Drosophila melanogaster: one gene and its partner. The protein of the gene in region 1 interacts with the protein of each later gene in a pairwise test. Each region holds a gene or a part of one and is shown in the gene's direction. Other genes may lie near its edges. The genes, in order: Mst87F and Clp.

The links.
Region 2: the proteins of Mst87F (region 1) and Clp interact in a two-hybrid assay, tested with the Drosophila melanogaster proteins (2 studies listed by BioGRID).

Annotation. Positions count from the first base shown.
Region 1 is NT_033777.3:13,814,965-13,832,114, reverse strand, and holds Mst87F (Male-specific RNA 87F), read left to right. Parts: upstream 1-4,106; 5' UTR 4,107-4,283; intron 4,284-4,428; exon of another isoform or gene 4,429-4,536; intron 4,537-4,626; 5' UTR 4,627-4,644; coding exon 4,645-4,815; 3' UTR 4,816-4,964; downstream 4,965-17,150.
Region 2 is NT_033779.5:818,188-823,873, forward strand, and holds Clp (clipper), read left to right. Parts: upstream 1-1,776; 5' UTR 1,777-1,891; coding exon 1,892-2,782; 3' UTR 2,783-3,022; downstream 3,023-5,686. Other genes in the region: PGAP2 (Post-GPI attachment to proteins 2), read right to left, coding at 320-456, 517-1,147; CG3662 (uncharacterized protein), read left to right, coding at 3,365-3,472, 4,671-5,382, 5,450-5,589. UniProt on the Drosophila melanogaster protein: Component of the cleavage and polyadenylation specificity factor (CPSF) complex that plays a key role in pre-mRNA 3'-end formation, recognizing the AAUAAA signal sequence and interacting with poly(A) polymerase and other factors to bring about cleavage and poly(A) addition.

The DNA of each region.
Region 1 (17,150 bases):
TTTTTTTTTTTGTTATTAATTATTAAAGCCAGCAGCGGCGCACTCTCTGCACTTGTGAAAAGTCAATTCTCCGGCGCACAGTGTATCATAGTGTATTATTTTGCTACATAAGTCTTTATTATTAAATCTTCTTTAGTGTTTTTGTTTTAAATGAATAATGAAACTTAAAGTATCTATAAAAATTCCTAGAAATACACTAAATATTAAGTAAATATTATTAAAAAATACGTGTACGTACGCCTTTAACACCATTTTTATTATTTCTTTTTTTATTCTAAATCACTGTGCGCAGTCGCGCCTCTCGTAAACTTTGAAACCGGCCCGGCTTAGTTGTTTTTGTTGCTGCTTAAAAGCGCAAACGCCGGCAGCGAAGGTTCGATTTCACTTTCGCACGGTGTCCCCTACCCCTCGCTTCTTTCTCCCTCTCGCACCAGCGGACCACCCCCTGACCGGCTACAGCTCCCCCCCCCCACCTCACCCTTCGCCCCACGAGCTGGCGGCCCATCTGGGGTGTCATGTTTTGAGCTCTTTACGAGCGGACGACGCTCTCACCTGCTTTCTTTCGCACAGAGCTTGTGCTTTCGCTCTCGGATCTTCGATCTTCGATCATCAATATGCGCGATCTCCGATCTGCGAACTGCGATCTTCCATCTCGCATCTGCGATATCTCAAGCTATCCAGAGAAGATGATGCGCTTTTCCAGCAGATTCGTACCATCGATTCGTTTGAATCGACATGGTGATCTACAGATATTTTGGCGCCACATGCAAATCCCACGGAAAATTGTCAAAGCACTGAAAAAAACAGGTATGCTGAATAATTTTCAATAACACGCTTGATTGTTTGAGTTTCCACAATGTCAACTTTTGTATTTGTACTTTTTAAAGAAATATAATACCTATGGATACCTGGAATTGCCTTAATTATATGCCCTATTTTTTTTCCAGTGATTGCAAAACTTACAAGCGTGCATATACATATGTACTTTCAGCAGCTCGGGGAAAATGTAAAGCGAATACAAAACAAACATCATGGAAAATCTTCCTGCATTACACAAACGCGGAAGATTTTCCTCGTACTCGCACATTTCATGGTTTTTCCAAAGCTCAACTAGCATTTTCGTGGCATTTCCATTGATGTTTTCGAGCTCTTTTTCCTTCTGCGCTTGTGTGTGTGGTAGTTAGCATGCGAAACTCGCAGATAAATTAGTATTTTTTGGCGCTGCCTAAGCTACAATTTTACACTGCGACTGTTTTGGGTTTTTTCTTGGCTTTGGTTTCGGTTTCGCTCTTCGCCTGGTTTTTTTTTCATTCATTTCATTTTCCCCTTTGCAATTTATAATTGAGTTGCAATTTGGCTGGCAACTATCTGTGGAATGCAGAGGGGCGCGGGGGCGGACTTTTCGCGGAACTTGCATGCGTATTAGTCATCAACTGAGTGGGGAATAAAAAACGCATTGGTCGAAAAATTTGGCAAGAAAATGGGGAATTAACCCACCTAGCAAGCTGCTCTTAAGAATGAGTTGAATATTTCATTACCAATTTGTCAGAATTTACTTTTGTAGCTATCATTTTTTCAATATTTTGATGGCGATTTTATCTGAGTATGTACACAACTATTTAAAGGATTAAATGTATTCGTCTAAGGATGAGCTGTGGCAGATATCACTAGAGAAAATGATATGATGCACAGAAATACCGCCTAGGCACTCGAGGGTTAAACACAAGTATGTATTAATATGCCATTTATAGCCTAAACACAAGACACAACCCCCGATATTACACACAAACTTCGTAAAGGAGAAGAAAAAACGAGGCACGATCAAAAGGAGGTACAAATCAAAACGCAGAATCAGAATCCGGGGCAAAAAGCTCGAAACTCGAAATCTGAAATCTGTGAAAATGTTGCCGCACGCGATCGAGACATTCGCATTTCATTTCATTTCATTTTATTTCAATTCATTTCGATTCATTGATACCGGTGCAGAAAAACATGGGCGAAAAGAGCGGCCCAGTTCCAAATTAAATAATACGAGATCTCGGCTGCCTTGCTCCTTATTATTATTATATTGTATTCCACCCTTTTTTTTGCGTGCTGCGTTTTTTGTGTGTGTGCTCCATTTTCTTAGGAATTTCTGACTGCCTCTCATCCGCATCCCATGTCGCACGATCAATCGCAGTTTCAGACTTCCACAATCCTACGATTTCGATCTCAACTCGGTTGGGATCGTATCGCATCGCTATGGCGACACGATGCGTTCACTTTCCTTTTTCAAGGCAGCTGAATCCTTTTTCGGGGGGCGGCACGTGCCCAGAACTACCATTACCACTTTCCATTGGATTCTCAGGTTTCCTCTGTGCACCTTCAAATTGATCGGCAAGAAAACGAGCTGCAGCATTCTTCAACTTTGATTTAGACATCTAAATAATATTTAAGTTAACATCAGAGTACTATGTATGTATGTACATATATCCGACTTTCAGAACTGCGCCTTACTTTTCCTTTTTAGCGATCAGCTGCCACTTTTTAGGGGGCGGCACGTGCTTTCTTCACTTTCGTCGGCTTCTCGGGTTACCTGAATCCGCCGTTTACCCTTTCGGTCGCTCCTCACCTTTGGCCCCATTGACGGCCACGCCCCTAAAGTCATTATGGCGCACACTTAGGGATAGGCGGATATTGATTTCCCTGGGCTGACTGGCAGTACTCAGCGCTTTCCAGCCGATGATGATGACATCTGCGTGTGCCCATTGTGTTTCACTTTTCATCAAACTTATATTAATAAGTTGATGCGAGGGGCCATAATTAAAGCGAATTCGATATTTCCGGCCGGAGGAAAGACATTTGGTTCACTGAACCCAATAAAAATCCTTGAACTCCCGTCGCCAGACGAAATACAAAATATTTGTATACATATGTATTGCCAATAATCTATTTCAAACAAAGGCCAGCCACAAATATGAACGAAAAAACTAAGTTAGAGCAGCGTCTGCTGCCCTTTTGGCGGCACCCTCACAAAATTATTGACCAGAGTTCCATCCATCTCGAGTTTGAAAAAAAAAAACCAGAGAGCCACAGAGAGAAAAATTCAATGAAAGTCATTTAACCACATTTAGGTGGTAAGAAAATAATTATTTAAAATCTGCTACCGCTTTCCGATTCGATTGAGACGCGCTTCGTCACTAAGTTCGCTACTAGATTTATGTAACTAAGTTTGATTCACTTTATATTAGACACTTTGTAATATAAGCTAGATTTGTATTTAATATATCTTACTCTACTCTTGTTCACATTTCTTTGAGACGCCTTTCGTCACTACGCTATATATTTTTTCTATGATAGTGATTTTTCACCGTGCCGAAACAGAACGACTTTGAGTTGGACTTGTCCGTCTCCTCGGATGCGAGATTCTACCCAAATATTTCTGCTAGAAGGGAGAGGACTTCTGTGCGGTTTGACGACGGGGTTTTTGCTTCGGTTTCTGCCTCTGCTGATCGACACACACACAAATACATACATACATTCTAATCAACATGCGGCAAAACATATAATTCGAATTTTTGATATTTCGCCCGACCATTTTGCGAAGAAAATTGCATTTAAACGCCTATTATGCGCTTTTTATTTGCAACCCATACTTTTCTGCCCGAATGCTCCGGCTGACTCAGTCATGCACAAATACAAATCATTGTATAATCATTGTGTATAACACTAGGGTTCCATTTTGGAGGCTGGCGAGCTCTGTCAACTGGTCCACTAGGCTTCCTGCTTTTCGGGAGTTAATTAAATCCGAAATCGTAAAATCGTTAGCAAATGAAATAAATTGCGCTCAATTACACCGAGTGACATCCAAGGCGCAATCGCTGGTGATTGACCTCTTTCAATGCGACGACATTCTTGGCTCGATTCGGCTGGGGAAAAAAACCAAGAAAAAACAAAATAAAAAACATAAGCAACACAAGTCTTCGGTCAGATAATGAACTTAATATACACTTGCATATATAGTATACCCGTTCAGCCCCGATACCCGGATTCTCGGCAATCGGCAATCGGCTATGCGCCATGCACTTAATCAAAAAGTACGACAAAATCAAGAGTAAACAAAAGTGCAGCGCAGAACTCGACTTGAGAACCGGCAGCGATTCGAACTTCAGCCGGGTGCAATGAACACATGATCCGACAAAACAAAAATTTAAATCTCATTTACCTCGTTTATATGTTACAGTGCACTGGAAAAATAGTGGCAACTTGATGCGTTCCTACCAAGTTGGATGATAACTACATAGGTAGGATCGAAATATAAAGGTTAATTCACATGAAGATTGAGCATTTCCCTACTTACAATACAATCATTATAAGCTTTAGCCAATGCTTTAAACAAAATATTTTATATAGTATCCTTTGCCTCTTCAGTCCGACTTGTCAAACCGATATACCTGTGCGTAACCAGATTTTGTATCATTATTATTTGTCCTTTCGGCCTGAACACATCAAAATTTGTCGTCTAGTCTCAAATTATTTCTTTTTGTTCGGTTCAAAGTGAGTGAAAATAAGTGAAAATTTACAAAAATGAAAATGTGTAAAAAATTCCTATGGCATATCATTTAAACGTACCTTTTCTCCCTTCAGAACTTTTACGAATTAATCATGTGCTGCGGACCCTGTGGACCCTGCTGCGGACCTTGCTGCGGACCCTGCTGTGGTCCATGCGGACCATGCGGAGGAGGATGTGGACCCTGCTATGGACCGAATGTCTGCGGACCATGCTATGCCTGTGGACCCTGTGGCGGCTGCTATTGTGGATACCCTTGCTGCTAGACAGTTGCAACTGGCCATGTCCAAGAAGGGTTCACCAGAACACCAAGACGATAGGATAGAACCTATCCCTATTTCATCCTCGTATTCATCTAATATTCGTGAACCACAAATATAGGTATTTGAGACAATAAATATGAGGTGTAAGCTTCAAGAAGGTTTGGTTTTTGATTAGTGATAATAGTCAAATGCAATTTGCTTAGCCAAATATCTGATTTTAGAACACAGATACAGATGTTTAGACGCAAATGCGACCTGAATTAGAATCGATCCGCAGTCTTCTAATGCGATGTGGTCGACCTTGACGTTTCGCCGAGAGTTTATTGTCCTTTCAATAGAACACGCTAAATAAAACTTATTTAAGCAGGTACATACATATTTAACCCGCACACAGTCATGCATGTTCTTGTGTTTTTGTTTTTATTTTTATTTTTATTTTACTTTTGTGTATATTTACTGCACTAATTCTGCGACGAACTAGTTTCGGCACAGCGGATTCCGATTCCTGAATTCCGAGCGGTATTAAACGACGGCGAAGCGCAAAAAGTCAACAAAGTGCATATAAAAAATATATTTAAATTTACCCGAATGCCGCCGTCTCCAGTCGCCGATCCGATCCCCCTGGAGATGACCGCCCCCCCCCCCCCACCCCTTTTTGGCCATATTTCTGGCCAACTCCAGCCAATCCGAAACCATCATCAGCTGACTGGATCTACGCGCGCGCCTTTTTAATTGCATCGTTTTTATTTGTGCGACTTTATGCAAATCAAACAAGTTCGCTGCCAAAATATTGCTGTTCGCGTTGATTTGCTGCTGCTGCCTGTGTTTGCCTTAAATTATTTATTTGTGTGTTGTGTGGGACGATACTCTTGTAGACAGTCGGTGTAAGTAGTTTGGCTGGTCAAAGCGCTTTGTTGTGGCGGCGCAAACCAAAATACGTCGAAAAAACACGCCGAAACTAAATATAAACACCAGCTTAAACCAAACATGTTTCATATGTCTTTTTGGGCGGGGGAATTTTTCTATGTATTGCTAGCTAGCTGCTTTTATTATTGATTAGCCAAATTGCCGATAATTAGTTTGACTTTGAACTTGATTTAGAGCTTGTTTGAAGCCGCGCCAGCAAATGTGTCAATACACACGGTTTTCCGATCGGTCCAAAGAACGAATTAGTATGGGAACTTAACTCATATCAATCAAACAAGATTTAGGTTCGTTAGCTTCTGTCATTGTGGGCTAAAATATTCGCATTAAATTAAGGCAGAAGTCAATTTGTGTCAGCCCTTTAAGTTTTAACGAAAGATTTGAAATTACGCAACTTACTCCGTAGACATCTAATTTTAAATATTTCTAAATACAACAATGTGTGCATTTTATGTACTTTTAGATTCCTCCTTGTCAAGTTTGCATGTATTATTTATACATATTTATTTATATTATTATTATTATAGCTCACACAATCACCCCAATCCAATCTCCTGCTCTTGTTATCCAATTTCCAGGCTCTTTTTTTCACTGGATAACTGGCACTGAGTTTCCCCATTCATGCCCTATTTGCAACCCAGTGAGTAAGTGGATTGGTTCAGCTTAGAGCGTTTCATGATCATGACTAAGGTCAGATTCATAAAAACCGCATAAACTAGACCCAATTTAGTTGACAAACACACACGAAAAACGCTGCGCGAAGAAATTAAAAGCGAAATGGAATTGTTTGTGCAAAAGCCGACGATTCGAGGGCGATGGCGAGGGGATGCCAAGTGCTGAGGGTGCCCCATTTGCATAGACATTTGCACGTCGAGGTTTGCGGTTTTGGGTGTCCAGAGGCGTATCGGATGCATGGTGGAGGCCCCCTACACCGCGAGAAATATCTGCCAATTGTCAAATGGAACTTCGTAATCTTTTACGTCGGATATGGTAACTAACTGTAAGCAGTTCATTTGAATCAGAAAACTATGAAAGTTATACTTTAGTTAATGAATTTATTGTATAACTTAAAGTGTACAATTTGATTGGTAAAATTTATAAATTTAATTAATTAACTTTCAATATTTTTTTATCTACGACTTGAGCTTTTTCCACCCTGTATTAGATAGCGAGTGAGGCGCTTCCATTTTCAAGGGTTCGCCTTGTCTGGCGTCTCGGATTAGCCGCTTCCACATTGAACTTGAGCTCTATGCATCCCCCAAGACAATCCGAATCCGAATCCGAATCCGAATCCAATCAGCTTGTGGGCCATTGTTGTTGCCGGATCTGGATCTGGTGCACTTGCACTTGCACTTGCGCATAAATCATGCGCGTCCAATGAAATCACGTGTTATAATTAGACCGATGCATTTTCACTTTCCACCAGCCAATTCAATCCAATCGAATTTAAGCCAAGCCATGCCGAACCAAGTTGAAGCTATCTCAAATGTCCGCATCCGCATCTAAGGCGACTCGGGGTGACAGCTGAAAATCGTGATATTTGATGGTTGTATCTGAATCCGTCTCTGTATCTGTTTGTGTATCTGTATCTGCGGGGCATTTGATTTGACCCAGGAACGAGGATTGGAATAGATCGGAACCCCATTGAGCCATCAATGGAGCGGATTGCCGGATTGCCCGTAAAGTGTCGTTCATTATGACCTCCTGTTGTTGTTGTTGGCGGTGGTCCAGCTCTTGATTCTTGGCTCTTGCCTCTTAGCTCTTGGCTACAATGTAAGCTCTTTAAAATATGCAGCGTGGCGATACTCCAGCACTCGCATCGGATCGGATTGGATTGGATCGGATCGGATGGAATCCACTTGGCACTCCATTCCGCCGGGGCAGCAGGTTGACCATGAGAACATGTTATTAAATTACTGTAATAATGTATTAAGTATGTAAGAATGCTACCAATGTTAATATGTAATAATAATTGTAATGACCAGGCCAGCCAGCAGTATGTACATATGTATGTATATGCCCGATCTATATGACCGATCTACTCGACTTTGGTCGCCAGTCTATTACTTCTACGCACTCCGAGTCCAGCGCCCATTTGACATTTCCATTTTCAGTTCCATGAAAGTGCTAATAATGCACTTATGTATGTATGTATGTACAGGTACTGCCCGGGATATATCGATTTCGATATATCACAGATATATATATACAATTTATGGTGCCTTCATTTGCGTCACTTGATCGCAACTGGGTTGGGTTTGGGTATTGTTTTTTTTTTTCGAGCTGTTTGAGTGTATAAATATATATTCGGAGGGGCAAAACCAGAACTTTGGGAAAGTGTGCCGAACACTTACTTAAATTATTCAAAGTACTTATCCCTTTTTAACTTCCCTTTTTTTTTAGAACTTAGCATATAGCATTATATCCTCCATCTATAAATTGAAAATGATTTTAACAAAAGCTAAATATACGACTTAGTTCAATTTTCTTGTAACTATTTATAGATTCTCGTAAAAAACTATACAAACTAAATTCTTCTAAGTAGACACATCTATTATCTACGAACTTTAATGCTATTACGTACACCAAGTCCCTTAATTATATGCAAATGCTGGGATGGCTTTCGTCAAACTTAGAAAAAAAAATATGTTAATTAATTTTTTCCCCTTTGTTATTATTTTTTGCCCAATATTCCCGGCAGCTCATTTCGGTTCTTCTTCTTGTTCTCGCTGATGATTCGTGTGTTATGCAATCAATACGATAATTTCAACATTTCTACAATGATACAAGTAAAAAGTTAAGGATATGCATATCCAGTTCTAATCGCACGATTTTCTGGATTTGCGAACTCTGCCAACGAGTTGGACTTGTAAATAAATCGAATTATCGTGTGCGTCGGCGTTTAATCAATTAATTAATATCACATACTTATAAATTGCCTCAAATGATGTTGAACAATTGCCCTGTCTTGGCCAGGTGCATTAAGTATCTCAATTTACGGCAGCAAATGTCAGCGGTTCGTGCGGATTTTGATATCTGCATTAGCATGTTCTCTTTCGCTTCGCATATTATTTGTGTATTTGCACAATGGCCAATAGTCAACAGTCGGCGTCTGGGCCCGGTCAGCAGTCGATCAATAAACATTTATAAACAAATTATGTCAATTTGTATGTAAAGACGAAATCGACTCAAATCGCACCGAGTGGCTGGCCATCGAATGCAGACGTGTTAAGAGTCGCCTTTGGGCCGCAAGTATTCGATTGCAGCTTACTGCTTGCCACTTTGCACTCGATTCGGCTTACAGATGGCAGACCGAAAAAAAATCGATGCTTAAAAGTATCTGATATTTTAGGAACTTGAAGAGAGTTGGGTTGGAAATTGAACTATCAAAACATAAACATATACCATATCAGCAATATCACAGCAATGCTTAAGTATTACATTGTCAATATTATATTTCATAGGTTTCATTTATGAAATTCATGAATTAAACTTAAATCGTTAGTATTTAAAAGATTGATTTCAAAAATGTGGCAATTCATGCACAGAAAGAAATCATTAGTTTATAATTACAAAAATTTAATCAAATTTGAGAAGCCTGAGATTTTACATAACTCTCAATAAATCAAATCGAACTTTGACTCCCGTTTTTCGCGCAGTGCATCTGCCCGCTCTCAGCTGAAAAGTTTCAGCGTCGCGTCACCGTCAACATTTAGTTTGGCTTTGCATTTTGTTACTTGAGCTAAATTACAGCGCATGAAATACGGAAGTTGTTATTGCTGTTATTGCTGTTGTTTTTGTTGCTATTACGGCATTGATTGCAGCCTGCACTTAGCGACAGAGTGAGACGGTTGTACATTGGTCGGTGGAGGGAGGCGGGGAGTTTTGGCCGCGGCCAAAAGGGCGTGTGTGTTTTGGCCCAAAGTTGTATGCTGCTAATTTTGATTTATTGCAAATCGCCATTTATGGCGTTTTTATCTCCGTAATGCTTCCTGTTCTCCATCAGATCGGCATGATATCGAGTAAGTGAGTGATATAAATGTGTGTGTGTAACTATGACTAGGCGTCTTTTTCAGATACTTTACTAGGCGATACTATGCGATCCGATCATTGAGCTTACTGATCTCAAGCTCGCGAACAGCGCGTGTTGTTTGATATTGAACTTGGCTTTGAGGCGAAGTCGAGTGTGGCACGAGTTCTGCCGCGTTAACTGGTGTTGTTCCTCGCCTTATTCTAATTTATATCTAAATTATTAATTGTTTATTTATGTTGTCAGCGAACAGGCTTTGTTCGCCGTAGGTGGTAACTGTAACAATGGGGGAGTATCGGCGTTTTTGGGGAATGCAGGGGAGTGCGTCTGCGGCGCATTTTGTGCATTAAACGCCTTTGGGCATGTGCAATGTCAACTTAGTGACTCCGAAAGAGGAAGTTATAAATCTTAATAATTAAATTAAATTTCATGATATTTTAATTAATATTTTTTTTCGACTAACGTTAAATTGGAAGAGAAATAGATAATAATATGCCCAACGTGTGCAAATTTTTTTTGCGCATTCATCCCAGAACTGCTTTATTATTAGTATCTATTGTTAACTAATTTGCTTAATCCAAATTGAGAATGATTGCAAGTGTTCCAACAAATGATTTCAACTGGCTTATTGTTAATAAATATGCAATTGTTATTTATTCTAATTTAATCGGCAATGATCGCTAACTAGATCATTCAGCTCCAAAATATTCCCATGTAATTGCCTTTAGCTCCCCGATTTACGTCATATTCCGGTTTCTGGCTGTATTTCTTCCCAAAAAAAATAAGATAAGAGTCCCCAGGGAGATAACAATAAACAAGGCGAAATACTTGTTTCGCTTAAAATACGATACAGTAATTAATTGGTGCTAATCTGTGCAACAAAGAAGTATAATAAAAATAAGAGTAATGTGCCAGGGATCGTCTGGCTTGGTCCAAAGACTATTCGGATACAAAATGCACAAATACACTTTCGCAAGCGTAATTTATTTGAAGCTAAGTTAATTAAGTGCATTCTGTTTGCCAGCAAGCAGACGAGTTTTGCCCTGTTTAATGAGTGCGATAGGAATACTTTCGGTCCAAATGCCCGTATTGTTTGAGATTTAATTTCAATCTCGATTTATTCAGACAGAGGACTTGCATTTAATGTGTAGTCTCAAGGTCGCACCCCTTTTTTATGTCGAATTAAATGTCGCGACTTCGCAAGTTGCAAGTAATGGGTTAATCGGGGCTGGGTTTTCGGGCATCCATCCCGGGATGGACAATGACTGGCAGAAAAAGGGCCAACTTCCCAAGCCACTTATGAGTGTGATTAATCACAGTTGAGTGTTGCTATCAATTTTAATTTCATTATAAAAGTTTACATTACCATCGACGATGGCCGGCAAACAAAGGCCGAAATCCAAGACCCAAAAGAAGCACATGACACCTCAAACAAAAAATGAAAATAAAAACAAAAAAAAAAAAAAGAAAAAATCAACTGAAGCGGCAGACGAAAACCTTTCGAAGAAGAAGCTATGTGCTATGATACCATAATCCACGAATAAAACTAAAGAAACACAGATACACACCTCTACAAACACACATACACACACACACTCATGCACACAGCAACAAAAAAGCTCACAAATAGTTCAATGAACTTATTTTTGTTGTATGTTGCTATGCTGGCTCCATAGCCCCGTCTCTTTCGATCGCTTTGTGTAAGTGTGTTTGCGTATTTATTTATGTTTTATTTTTATTTGTTTCGTCTATTTGAATTCACATTTTTTGTGCCCACAAGGTGGGAAATATTCCAATCGAAATGCATTGAAAGCTCACTCGAGAGATACACTTGTATCTTATGGATACGTAGATCAAAATTAACATTTTAATGATCGAAATACATTTACATTTACATTTACAGCAGCGATCTTCTCGTCTTCTTTGATCTGCATTTGATTTTCTCTACGCTCGTGTGCCATCAAATATTGTCACGTAGCCACCAGCTCTCGTTCTTCTGGATTTTGTGGTTTTGAATGAATTTTGATAGCCAACATGCAGGTTGAAGCTCCCCAAATAAAAAAATAAGACCGAATATACATTTTCACATGCCTCTAATCAAGTGTGAATAATCCCATTTTGGGGCCAGTCAGTGAGCAAAAAGTATTTAAGCTTAATTGTTATGCTGATAGAGGAGGCGCTAGATGGATTGGTTTCAGCTTCAGGCCCAAAAAAAAAAAAAAAAAACAAATTAAAGGGAAAAACAAAAGGCATACAAGAGTATGCCCACCTGACAGGTGTACAAACACACAGGTAGCCAGCTTTTGGTAACAGTGTGTGTGCGTGTGTGTGCTTGTGTCTTTTGGCCAGCTCACGTTTCGTTTGCCGTCTGGGGAGCTCCAAGCTTAAGAGCTCTTTCTGTCTGTTTTGGCCAAATACTTTGATATTTTTACATATAAAACAATTATGAGTTATGCCGACACCTTCAGCAGGTCGAATTCGTATTACACTAATGGGCTTGTAATACTGTTTAATGGCGGGATATAATGTTAAAATAATTAATGAATTATCAAAGAAATGAATAGTAAGCAGATAAATAAATCGCAATCAAATTCAGATTATAAAACACAATTGGCTTGCTGATTATTCACTTTCCCATCTCCACTTGGAAGTATCTACAATCTTCTTATACTAAATTGCATTGTTCAATAGGGAAAAATATCATTTTAAAAAATCTATATCTTTATCTATAAAATGATACATTTGATTTAAAGAGGATACATATATGTACTTAGTTTCCAGCTGGTACTTAATGTACCCCATTCAAGGGCCAAAAACAATGTGTAATAGTTTTTTAATTGAATTGTCGCAAAAACGGCGAACTTGGCTGCTTTCGAAGTTATTTTCGTTTGATTTTACGGCGAACTGTAGGCGCGTGAGTTCGACTTTGGGTGCTATTAATTAATTGTCATGTGCTTATTTCTATTACACAATCTAGCTGCCCCAGTGGGCGTGTGGGCTAGCGTTAGCGTGTGTAGAGATGCTGATGCTGAAACTGAAACTAAAAAAACTGAGGAACAGCGACTTACGCAATTTATTTGCCAAGTGGCCAGGTTTGCACAGGTGCTGCGCCACCCCACCAGCTCTCCTTCCGCCAACTGCTGACGTCACTGATAGTGGCTGCAAACAGAAAACAGGCGTCAGCGAGTAAGTACACAAAACGCTGGCAGATATTAGATATTTTTGCTCGCCAAATGGCACTGGCTGCGCAATTGGTTAACTTGGACTTGGCCAACAAGCCTAAAGTCAGTGCCAAGCAATGAAAATTGCAACGTGTTTTGGCATTAGACGTGAAAGTGGCCAAGTGAGTGGGTGACTTTTTTTTTTTTTTTTTTTGCAGGGGGATATGTGAATGCGAATGGGAATGGGCTTTGAAGAGCAAAGAGGGTAAGACGGCCCACACCAACCGTCAGCATTTGTTGGCTTTTATGGCACGTAATTTGCAATTGGCAAAACCAAGTCCAAGACATTTTCAACGCGACTGTCTCTTTTGCCGCTGGCAAACTTTTCACTTTTCATTCTGCGCTTTTCCACCTTCTGCCATTTTTGCATCCAACGTACGTGCCCCACGTTGCATATTTTGCCCTGTTGGCCTATTAAGTCCTGGGTTCTTGTTGGCCGCGGGCCAAAGTCTGTGCATTGAGTGCGGGGGAAAAACCAAAACGCCCGCCTATGCCGTTTTTTAAAGGCAAGCGACCCATTTAGCCTGCATATTGCGCATACGCCCTGTGGTGAATCAAATGTAATCCACTTGATGACTAAGGCCAGATTAAGCCGAAATGTTAAATCTGACACGTGAATCGCCGCAAAACTATGCGAAACAAGTTCAAAAATATTTTCAATATTTATCTTCTCTCTTTTTCTGTGTTGGCTTTGCAAAAAAAAAAACAAAAATTGAAAGAAAAAAGAAATATTTGCAAATTAGGAGAAACTATCATATTTTTGAAGGTACCCAGGGAGATGAAACTGAAACTGAATATATAACAAAAGGCACTTGTCTGGGTGAAATTTTCACTAGATATTCAAATGAACCAACAACAACAAGCAAGTGTGGCTGCTGGCTGAACAAACAAACAACAACTAACACAAAAAACGGAAACCGTTAAAGCCAAAAAAGACAACAACAGTTTGAGAGTCGCTTTCAAATGACGCACTGAAAGAATTTGGACGTGCTTGGAGAGGTCCAAAAGGATTCAAGGATATCGCACAAAATGGTGTATATATTAAAGGAAATTCCATAGTTGTTAATAGGTTTGATATAACTACATATTTAATATTTTTTAAGATGATCTGCACTATTGAATTCACCTCCCTGATGAAACGAATTGCTTTGAAGGCACCCCCGATTTTCGCGCTGTGTACCAATCGTTGGCGCTGATGTTGCTGCTGTTGATGAGGCGTGCTCCGTTGTTTACCCCACTTGAAAGCGACTGAAGATCAATGGGTTGTATGACCAAGAGCAAGACCAAAGTTGTGGTGTTGGTCTACCACTTTCGTTGATACTGTTGTTGATTTTGTGTGTGTGTTTTTGTTTTCATTTCCAAGACGCCGCTAGAGCTTTGAGCGATTTTTCATTGGAATAGAAAGTGAATTGAATTTGTTTTCGCTGGCGGATTGCGCGTTCCATTGCTCTTGACGTTGTCGTCTTCATTGGGGTGCTGTTGTTTACACTGAAAACAACGGAAAGCAGATGTCCGCCGACACGGAGACAGTCATCTCTCTGCAGTCTTCGGTCTTCTGGAAATTGGACCATGTCATTGACCCTTTCTGCCTCGAGTTGCCCCAAAAGCAGTGAGAGTGCTTGTTTGTTGTTTATCTTTCGGCTTCAGTTGTTGTTTCTTCCGCTCGAGGAAAAACGTCAGTGAAAGAGAAGCTTTTGTTGCACAGCTCGTGGACTTTACTCGAATGCAATTATTGGTGGAGGTGATTGGGGATCCGTAAAGTTTCCAGATGGTGACAGGAAAATTGTAGAAAATTCGATGGAACAAGCCGATCGATCTTGCTTTTTTAATTTTCGGATGCCATAGGCTTAAATTGAAATTGTACTATTTTAAAATAATTATTCCAACATCATTGACTTCCCAAATAGAAAATATTAGTACAATGAAATCTCATTAATATATAAACTCCTATAAATAATAACTCTTATAATTTCTTGTTTGTTTTGTTTATGACTGCAGATAACTACAAACATGTTTGTCGATTTTGAATTGTATTTCATAATAAAGGTAGCATTTATTTCTTTAATGTAATAAGAAACTATAGATTTCCCCAATGAAGACCCATATGACCACCGAATCATCCAGAGAGCTGTTTATGTCCCAGATTGACTTGACTTCCACTGTCGCTTTCTATTTGTGGTGTCTTCTAGCGTTTTCCAATGCGGAACCGCCGATCCATGGGCTGCAGTCTGCTGACTCGATTTCTTTTACCAAAATACCAAAAATGTGTAAATTGAACGCGGAGCGGCGGCATCGAGCCAATGGGTTTATTCACCTTTCGCCTAATTATCAATATACATACATAAGCGGAGTGTACCAGAAAGCGATGTATAGCATACATACTACAAGATACAGATACATATGTGTGCAAAAGCGTCGACCAAACCAAGACGATCCGATGACGAAGACAGCTACTTCAATGAAATCAATTTTACGATAATAACTTTTGGGCAGAAACAAAGCCCAGTGAGCGAGGCCTGTGAATCGAAAAGCGAATTCGTTGATACCCCGATTCCGAAGCCCTGGCGATTCATATACAATATAAACATTGATTCAGGCCCGGCCAGCAGCTCATGTACCGTTGGAAATTTCTTGCCTTTTCTTTTTTCATTTCTCAGAGCGTTGTGTGTAAATTTTGTTATTTTGTTTTGTATGTGTGTATTGTCTTGTTGCTTTTTTTCGTTGTTATTGTCTTGCACAAATGTAGGTCAAGTTATACGTTCGCCAGTATGCGTGTGTGCGTGAGTGTGTGTGTGTGAGTGAATATCTGTGTGTGGAGCTCGTGGGACGTTGGGAGCTGGAGCTGGAACTTGGATCCGGGGGCGGCACTGAAGGGGTCTGTCATCCCGTCGCACTCTGAATGACTGACTAAAAGTCGGGCGATGAGTCCGAGGCACCGACAGTATTTTCTAGTAGCTCCATCCCCGGCCAACTTTCACTTAGAAAGTTCTCTGCTTGCGGTTATGAGGAATCGGATTTTCGTTTGCTCATTTAATTTGTATACCCTTGCCGAGCGTTTTGGGGTTAGTTTGTTTCCAGAATTCACACTTCGCTACGGAGGAGAAGAAAGTGCTGAAAACAGACTCTTCCTTTCAAGAACTTCACATCATTTCGGTGAAGAGATGGGCGAAATGGCCTGCAAATTTTCAAAAAATTTGTCATATGTTATTATAAGACATTTAGAAATATGTTTCACACAACCAATTGAACCAATTGAATCCCATAAGATATAAAAGGCTTGATTAGATTTAAAACTGCAATTTATATTTAAAATATATTGATGGCACAAGGTCAAGCATATGACTTTAAAAAACAATAATCAAAATTGAATATCGAGATTCCAGAATATTTTTGCTTCAGGATTCATTTTACAGGGTATTCAGAGTTTCGCCCATCTTTCTTCGCCCGTGACTTGTGCTGGCTGCTTTTTTTTTTTGGTTGAACATGAGTTGGCTTATACACATTCTGTGGCTGAAAGCGATATTCATTCATATCGGCGACAACAAGTTAACTGGGTCACCGCGTGTGTGGGTTCCTGGGAAGATCTGATTGCAGGCGGGTCAATCGAATCAGATTGAATGGAATGGAGTCCCGAGCTGGACAAGACGATCCGCCCAATTGCATTTTCAGTTCGAATCACTCGATTGAGTGGGAAAGCTTTCCGTTAGGCGACGTCATCAGCGCCGGCCGCGCAGCAACCTTGGCGATCAGCTGTTCGTAGCGAGTGGATTTCCCTGAACTTCATACTGATACTGAAAAGCTAGTGCGCGCGTGTCTATTAATAGTCTCTCTCGTTTTCCACCGCTCTCTGGCGAAAGAGTTAAACTGCCTCTTCGGCGGGAACTTCCTGCTGGAAAAACCTGCTGGCTGAGAGCGTGAAAAGCTCTGTGCTCTCTTAAGTGGAAATCTGCGAGCTAGCGCTCTCTCTGCCCCTCTCTCAGAATCACAAGTTCTCGGCTGTAGTTGTTATGCTATTATTGACCTAATCACTTGTGGAGCACAAACGAACATTGAACTTTTACTTCCGCATCAGCGTTGCCCGATCAAGATTCGCTCTTTCGATTGTCCGGATAATATTTTTGCATTGGGAAATGCGTTTTCATTACCCCCCCCCCTCGGTGTTT
Region 2 (5,686 bases), on another chromosome or scaffold:
AAAATAAAACCTTATTGAAGCCTTGTTCCTAAATGAGTATGTGTATAAATAATGCACTACATAATGATGGAACTCGGTTCGAATTTAACTAGATCCTTTAGGTGTAAAATCGTGTTAGAGCCTAAAGCTAAAAGCGTGTGTATGCATCAGATCCTGTCATACTGAATCGTCTCCTCTCGGAATCCCTCGTAAGCAATTTCCTTTTGGTAAAATTAAGTAAACATTGAGCTTAAGCTAATACCGCGTATGTACACAATACTCGAGGACGACTGGCTGGCTGAAATGGCGGCGCAGGCTGGGTTTGATCTAGTTCATTGGTCTACGATTGTGATAGGTAGAGACCGTGCTTGGCATCACACACCACATTCAGGGCGTAGAAGTCCCAGTAGGAGGTCATGTGGAACCCCATGTTGGTCAGCACCACGATGTACTCGAACAACGCGAAGAAAGTATAGACTGTGGATAGAAAAGATTCATTATAAGACAATAGTGGACTCACAACCGATTCCCACTCACCTCCCGCCTCGCAATGCGAGTTGTGCCTCACGAAGCAGTATCCTGCCAAGCCAAAGGCGATCACATTCACCAAGAACAGATTTCTCTTGTACCTCAGCGACTTCTCCTCGTGCGGCAAGAGCACGGTCTTCTGTATATTCCTGTTCAGCAGGTAGGAAACCAGCATATAGCACTCGGAACACGCAATGAACACCACAAATGCGTTTCTGTGGGTCTCGTAATGATCCGCAGAGGTCCAAAACGACAAGCAGAAGAGGGCCAGATCCTCCACGACGTTCAAGAAGCAGGCCAGGATGCCCAGCAATCTTCTGCTCCGGCGGATGTGTTCCCGATAGTGCTCCAAGTAGATTTTGGCAACTGCCAAACGGAGTGGTAAATGCAGAAATATGGCCAGTCTCCAGACGGTTTTTTGGGGCTCATAGTTCCCAATGGCCGCCGAGACGGAGGGCAGATAGTTGGTCACATCGCAGTGGGTGTAGGTGCTCCTAACGAAGTCAAAGGTCAGAGACCAAATCACGCAGAAGAAGAAGCCTCCCAGGGGCAAACTAAGAGCCACCAGTGCCAGTCGCGCAAAGGGAAGCCGGAAGAGGACGCTTTTGGGATCACTGAAGCGCTCGTAAGTAGGCAGCATTTGACCTTTGGAGTGGGTGGACTACGTGGGGTGTTGGTCGGGTTGGGTTCTTCAGCGGCGCTCGCTCCTCATTTTTCAGTTCCTCGCTCCCAAATTAACTAATGGCTTTTCACGCAGATTGCTTACGTTATAAACATTGCGAAAAGTTGTAAACAAGTGATCGATACCAGCTGACTATCGGCCTCTGGCGGCGGGGGTGGTTCATTATCGAATTTACTCAGTGTTTAATGTTTAAATTTCGAAGCAATTCAAGTGTTGCTCTTGTGTAAGTGAAATTTTTGAAACTGGCTCGTTCATTGTAGATAAGCCCTTTTATCAGCAACACTAACGGGGCGGATACTTAATTTCTATGTAATACTTTAGTCGCCAACAGTGCTGACCAATATCAACTTACTTTTGTAGCTAAATAGCTAAAATGTTATTAATGGCGGTTTAGTTAAATAAGGTCATAAAAACAAGTATTTTCTTACTATGACTAATCTTATAAATTAAAAACATTTGGAGACTAAAAATATTTATATACAAATATCTATTCCCTGAAGTGGACAGATTTGGCTAATAAACAGCTAGACGGCCATGACTGTCTTGCCTTGCGAACTATCGATATCGATAACGCCGGTTGCGTGTCAGCACTATTCGCACTGAAACAACAAACACGCGCAAAAAAAGAAGAAGGAAACTGCATTGTTTACCAGATTTCGGAGTTTTTCCTCATCTATCCGAGCATCCGCGAATCCGTCAGAGATGGACATCCTTTTGGCCAACGTAAGTGGGCTGCAGTTCAAGGCGGAGCGGGACCTCATCGAGCAGGTGGGTGCCATCCCGCTGCCGTTCTACGGCATGGACAAGTCCATTGCGGCGGTCTGCAACTTCATCACCAGGAACGGACAGGAGTGCGACAAAGGGAGCGCCTGTCCCTTCCGACACATTCGCGGGGACCGGACGATCGTGTGCAAGCACTGGCTGAGAGGACTGTGCAAGAAGGGCGACCAGTGCGAGTTCCTGCACGAGTACGACATGACCAAGATGCCCGAGTGCTACTTCTACTCGAGGTTCAACGCCTGCCACAACAAAGAGTGTCCCTTTTTGCACATCGACCCGCAGAGCAAGGTGAAGGATTGTCCGTGGTACAAGAGAGGCTTCTGCCGCCACGGTCCCCACTGCCGGCACCAGCATCTGCGCCGTGTCCTGTGCATGGACTACCTAGCCGGCTTCTGCCCCGAGGGCCCGTCCTGCAAGCACATGCATCCGCACTTCGAGCTGCCCCCGCTGGCGGAACTGGGTAAGGATCAGCTGCACAAGAAACTGCCCACGTGCCACTATTGCGGCGAGCTGGGCCACAAGGCCAACTCGTGCAAGCAGTATGTGGGCAGCCTGGAGCATCGCAACAATATCAACGCAATGGATCACTCCGGCGGACACTCGGGCGGCTACTCTGGACACTCCGGCCACATCGAGGGTGCCGATGACATGCAATCCAATCACCACAGTCAGCCGCATGGTCCCGGCTTCGTCAAGGTGCCCACGCCCCTGGAGGAGATCACCTGCTACAAGTGCGGGAACAAGGGCCACTACGCGAACAAGTGTCCCAAGGGTCACCTCGCCTTCCTCTCTAACCAACATAGTCATAAGTAGGACGCTCTGCTCTGTATGATTAGACTGTAAGAGTGCAGAAATAAAGGTCGAAAGCGGTCTGCATAGTCCGCTGTGTAGTCCAGAGGTCGTAGGTTCCCAACTTCCGCAGGCGAACGTTTCAATCATTCTGTGTTTAAAGTGTATGTTAAGAAACTCATTTGCATTTTTGAAAAAAGTCCCTAGAACTGCCAGTAGAACGTATTGTGTTATCAGCGAAATAAACTTCCATAAGATACAAGTAAGCAATTCGTTTTGGAAGGGAGTTTAGTTGTATGTTTTGGGTTTTCTCCAAAAATATAAATGTATCATGTTTTTTCGTTTGTAAGATAACAATTTGTGCCTCACAATTTTTTTTCGGATTCAAGTTTCGAATTTTTGGGCGGCGAATCGTCTTTTCCAAGTTTGCAACCACTCTAGAGTTGCCTCACTTTTGTCCACATCTTTTGAAAGGCGAATTAGAACTGGTCACACTGGCTTGTCTGGATCGAGATTTCAGCTCGTCAACAATTGCGCACTAAATTTTCAGTAAAAACAAACAAGTTGGTCGTGCGGAGGCATCAAGAACACAGCATACGAGCAGCCATGACAATTCTGGGAAAACTGCGGGGACAGCCCACGGACCAGGAGAAGGTGCCCCTGCCCATGAACCTCAACGACGAGGCGCTCATGCACCATGGCTCCCTAATCGCAGTGAGTTTTGCTTGGCATCGCATCTGCGGGATGTGTCCTTATTTTTGCGCAATCGTGCTATGTCCTTGTCCATCCCTCGCGCCCTGCCCGCCACCGTGTCCTTCGTCCTGCGGCCCGAGAGCCACAAGTCTCGTGATGGGTGGGTGGTTGGTGCTGATTCCGATTCGGAATCCATTCCGAATTACAGCCTCAGCAGCAGCAGCTCGCCATCGATTTTTCCCCGACCAAGCTCCGCACTCCTTGGTGTCCTTGTGGCCCGTGCTTCCCCTTACCCCCCTGCCCGCATGCAACCCCTGCTCCACTCCAAGTGACGTGTGCCCATTCACTTTCCTGGGCTTTCCGCGCCAAGGACTCGCTCGCTCGCTCCCCGAGGTCAGCGCGAAGGGTTTTCCTGTTGCTGGTGGAGATTGGCCCTGACGGCTGGGGAAAGCCACTTACGGTGCCAGTTGCAGCCCTTTGTGAGCTGCTGACACTGTGCACTTTGACCTCGATTCGTGTGCACGGGTATCCAGAGAAAGTCGTGTCTTATCAGCTTGCTGGTCATAAGCACAATCATTCCCAGCTGCCAGCTCCCATCTCCCATCTCCCAGCATATTTGCCCATCTGCAGTTTATTTATTTAGTGTAGATATCACTAATTTTCCAGAGATTTATATACAATCATACATTTACATATGAGTTATGCACTACATAGTCGAATAAGGTCCACTCTAGTGCATGCAAATGCCTTCAATTGATTAATTTTTTGCAAGGGGATCTCTTCTGACCCCTCCTTAGACTAATCTCTCGCTAACGACGTATCTTTCGAAACAATTTTGACTTAGCAATGCAATTGCATTGTTTATAGAACAAGAGAAGGCATTGCAGTGAAAAATTATCTTGCTGAGCTGGCGGAAAATATAAATGTGTGATTAATATTCAGCAAGCTCAAACCTTTCGACTTGTGGAACTTCCACTATCAACATTACAGTCAACTGCCTTCTATTTGTATTTTTCTACGACTTATCGTCGTTTTTATGACTTTCCACTGGAACAATGGGTGATAAGGAAACAGATATAACAAGTCGGTCATTTTAGATAACTTTAGATTGTATATAAAACTGCTACTTTTCCATTGCAATTTGTTGTTCCTACAAAATTGCAAGTGACACTTAGAGGAGTATCCCATATTTTTAAAACCCCCCATTTTCCACACACAGCCCAAGGTTGCTTACAGCGATAATGAAGCCGACGCGGAATCCATGGTCTTCAACCGGCCGCAGCACCATTGCATCAAATCCTTTCTGCTGTTCCTGATCGCCGTAGTCGTGATGCTCCTGGGTGTCCTGGGCGGATGGACCCTGTACCGAGTGTACGCTCCGTCGCATAGCAGCATGCGCTACCACGCCCTGTGCGAGATCCCCTATCCGGAGGACTCGATGGAGATGGCGCGGGTATATCCGCGCACCGTGGAACCGTTCGCCCTGAACTGGCGCTCCTTGCTACCCGAGCTCGCGCAACCGATGCCCAACAGTGGATCGCTGGACGAGAGCCACTTCCGCGAGGACATCGAACTGGACGGTGACAGCGATGACGAGGGCTACGCACGCGTGGACGTGCCCGACTTCAAGGATGGACGTCGTGGTCGCTTCATGCACGACTTCAAGGAGAACCAGTCGGCCATTATCGACACTACCACCGGACGGTGCTTCATCATGCCCTTGGATCGGGACACGACCCTGCCCCCGACCAGCTTTGTGGATCTCATAAAGAAGATGAGCACTGGCTACTACAACATAGATACGGAGCGCGTGCGGCGCCAGATGCGTGTGGTCATGCCCCGCATCACCGATGTCTCGCTCATCTCGGAGCGGATTGCCAACGAGTGCTTCGATATGAAGGTCTACATGATGGAGAAGTTCGTCTCAGGCGGTGAGTAGCAATGTCTTACAGGTGCCAGCAACTTACTGATCCATTCCCATTCCTCGACCCATTACAGTCTCGAAGAGATCGGCTGATCCGCTGCCGGAGTCAGCCAAGTACGCCGAGTTCATGGGCAAGGGCGTCATCGAGTACGACCTGGCCAACATCGCCGAGGTGGAGGCCTACGAGGCCAACGAGGCTAGGCAACAGGCCTGAGCTTTGGAGGAGGAGGAGGATCTTTTAAGCTACAACACCCATATGATAACACAACCTAAACAAATTATTACTTAGAATCGATTTATACATACACAGA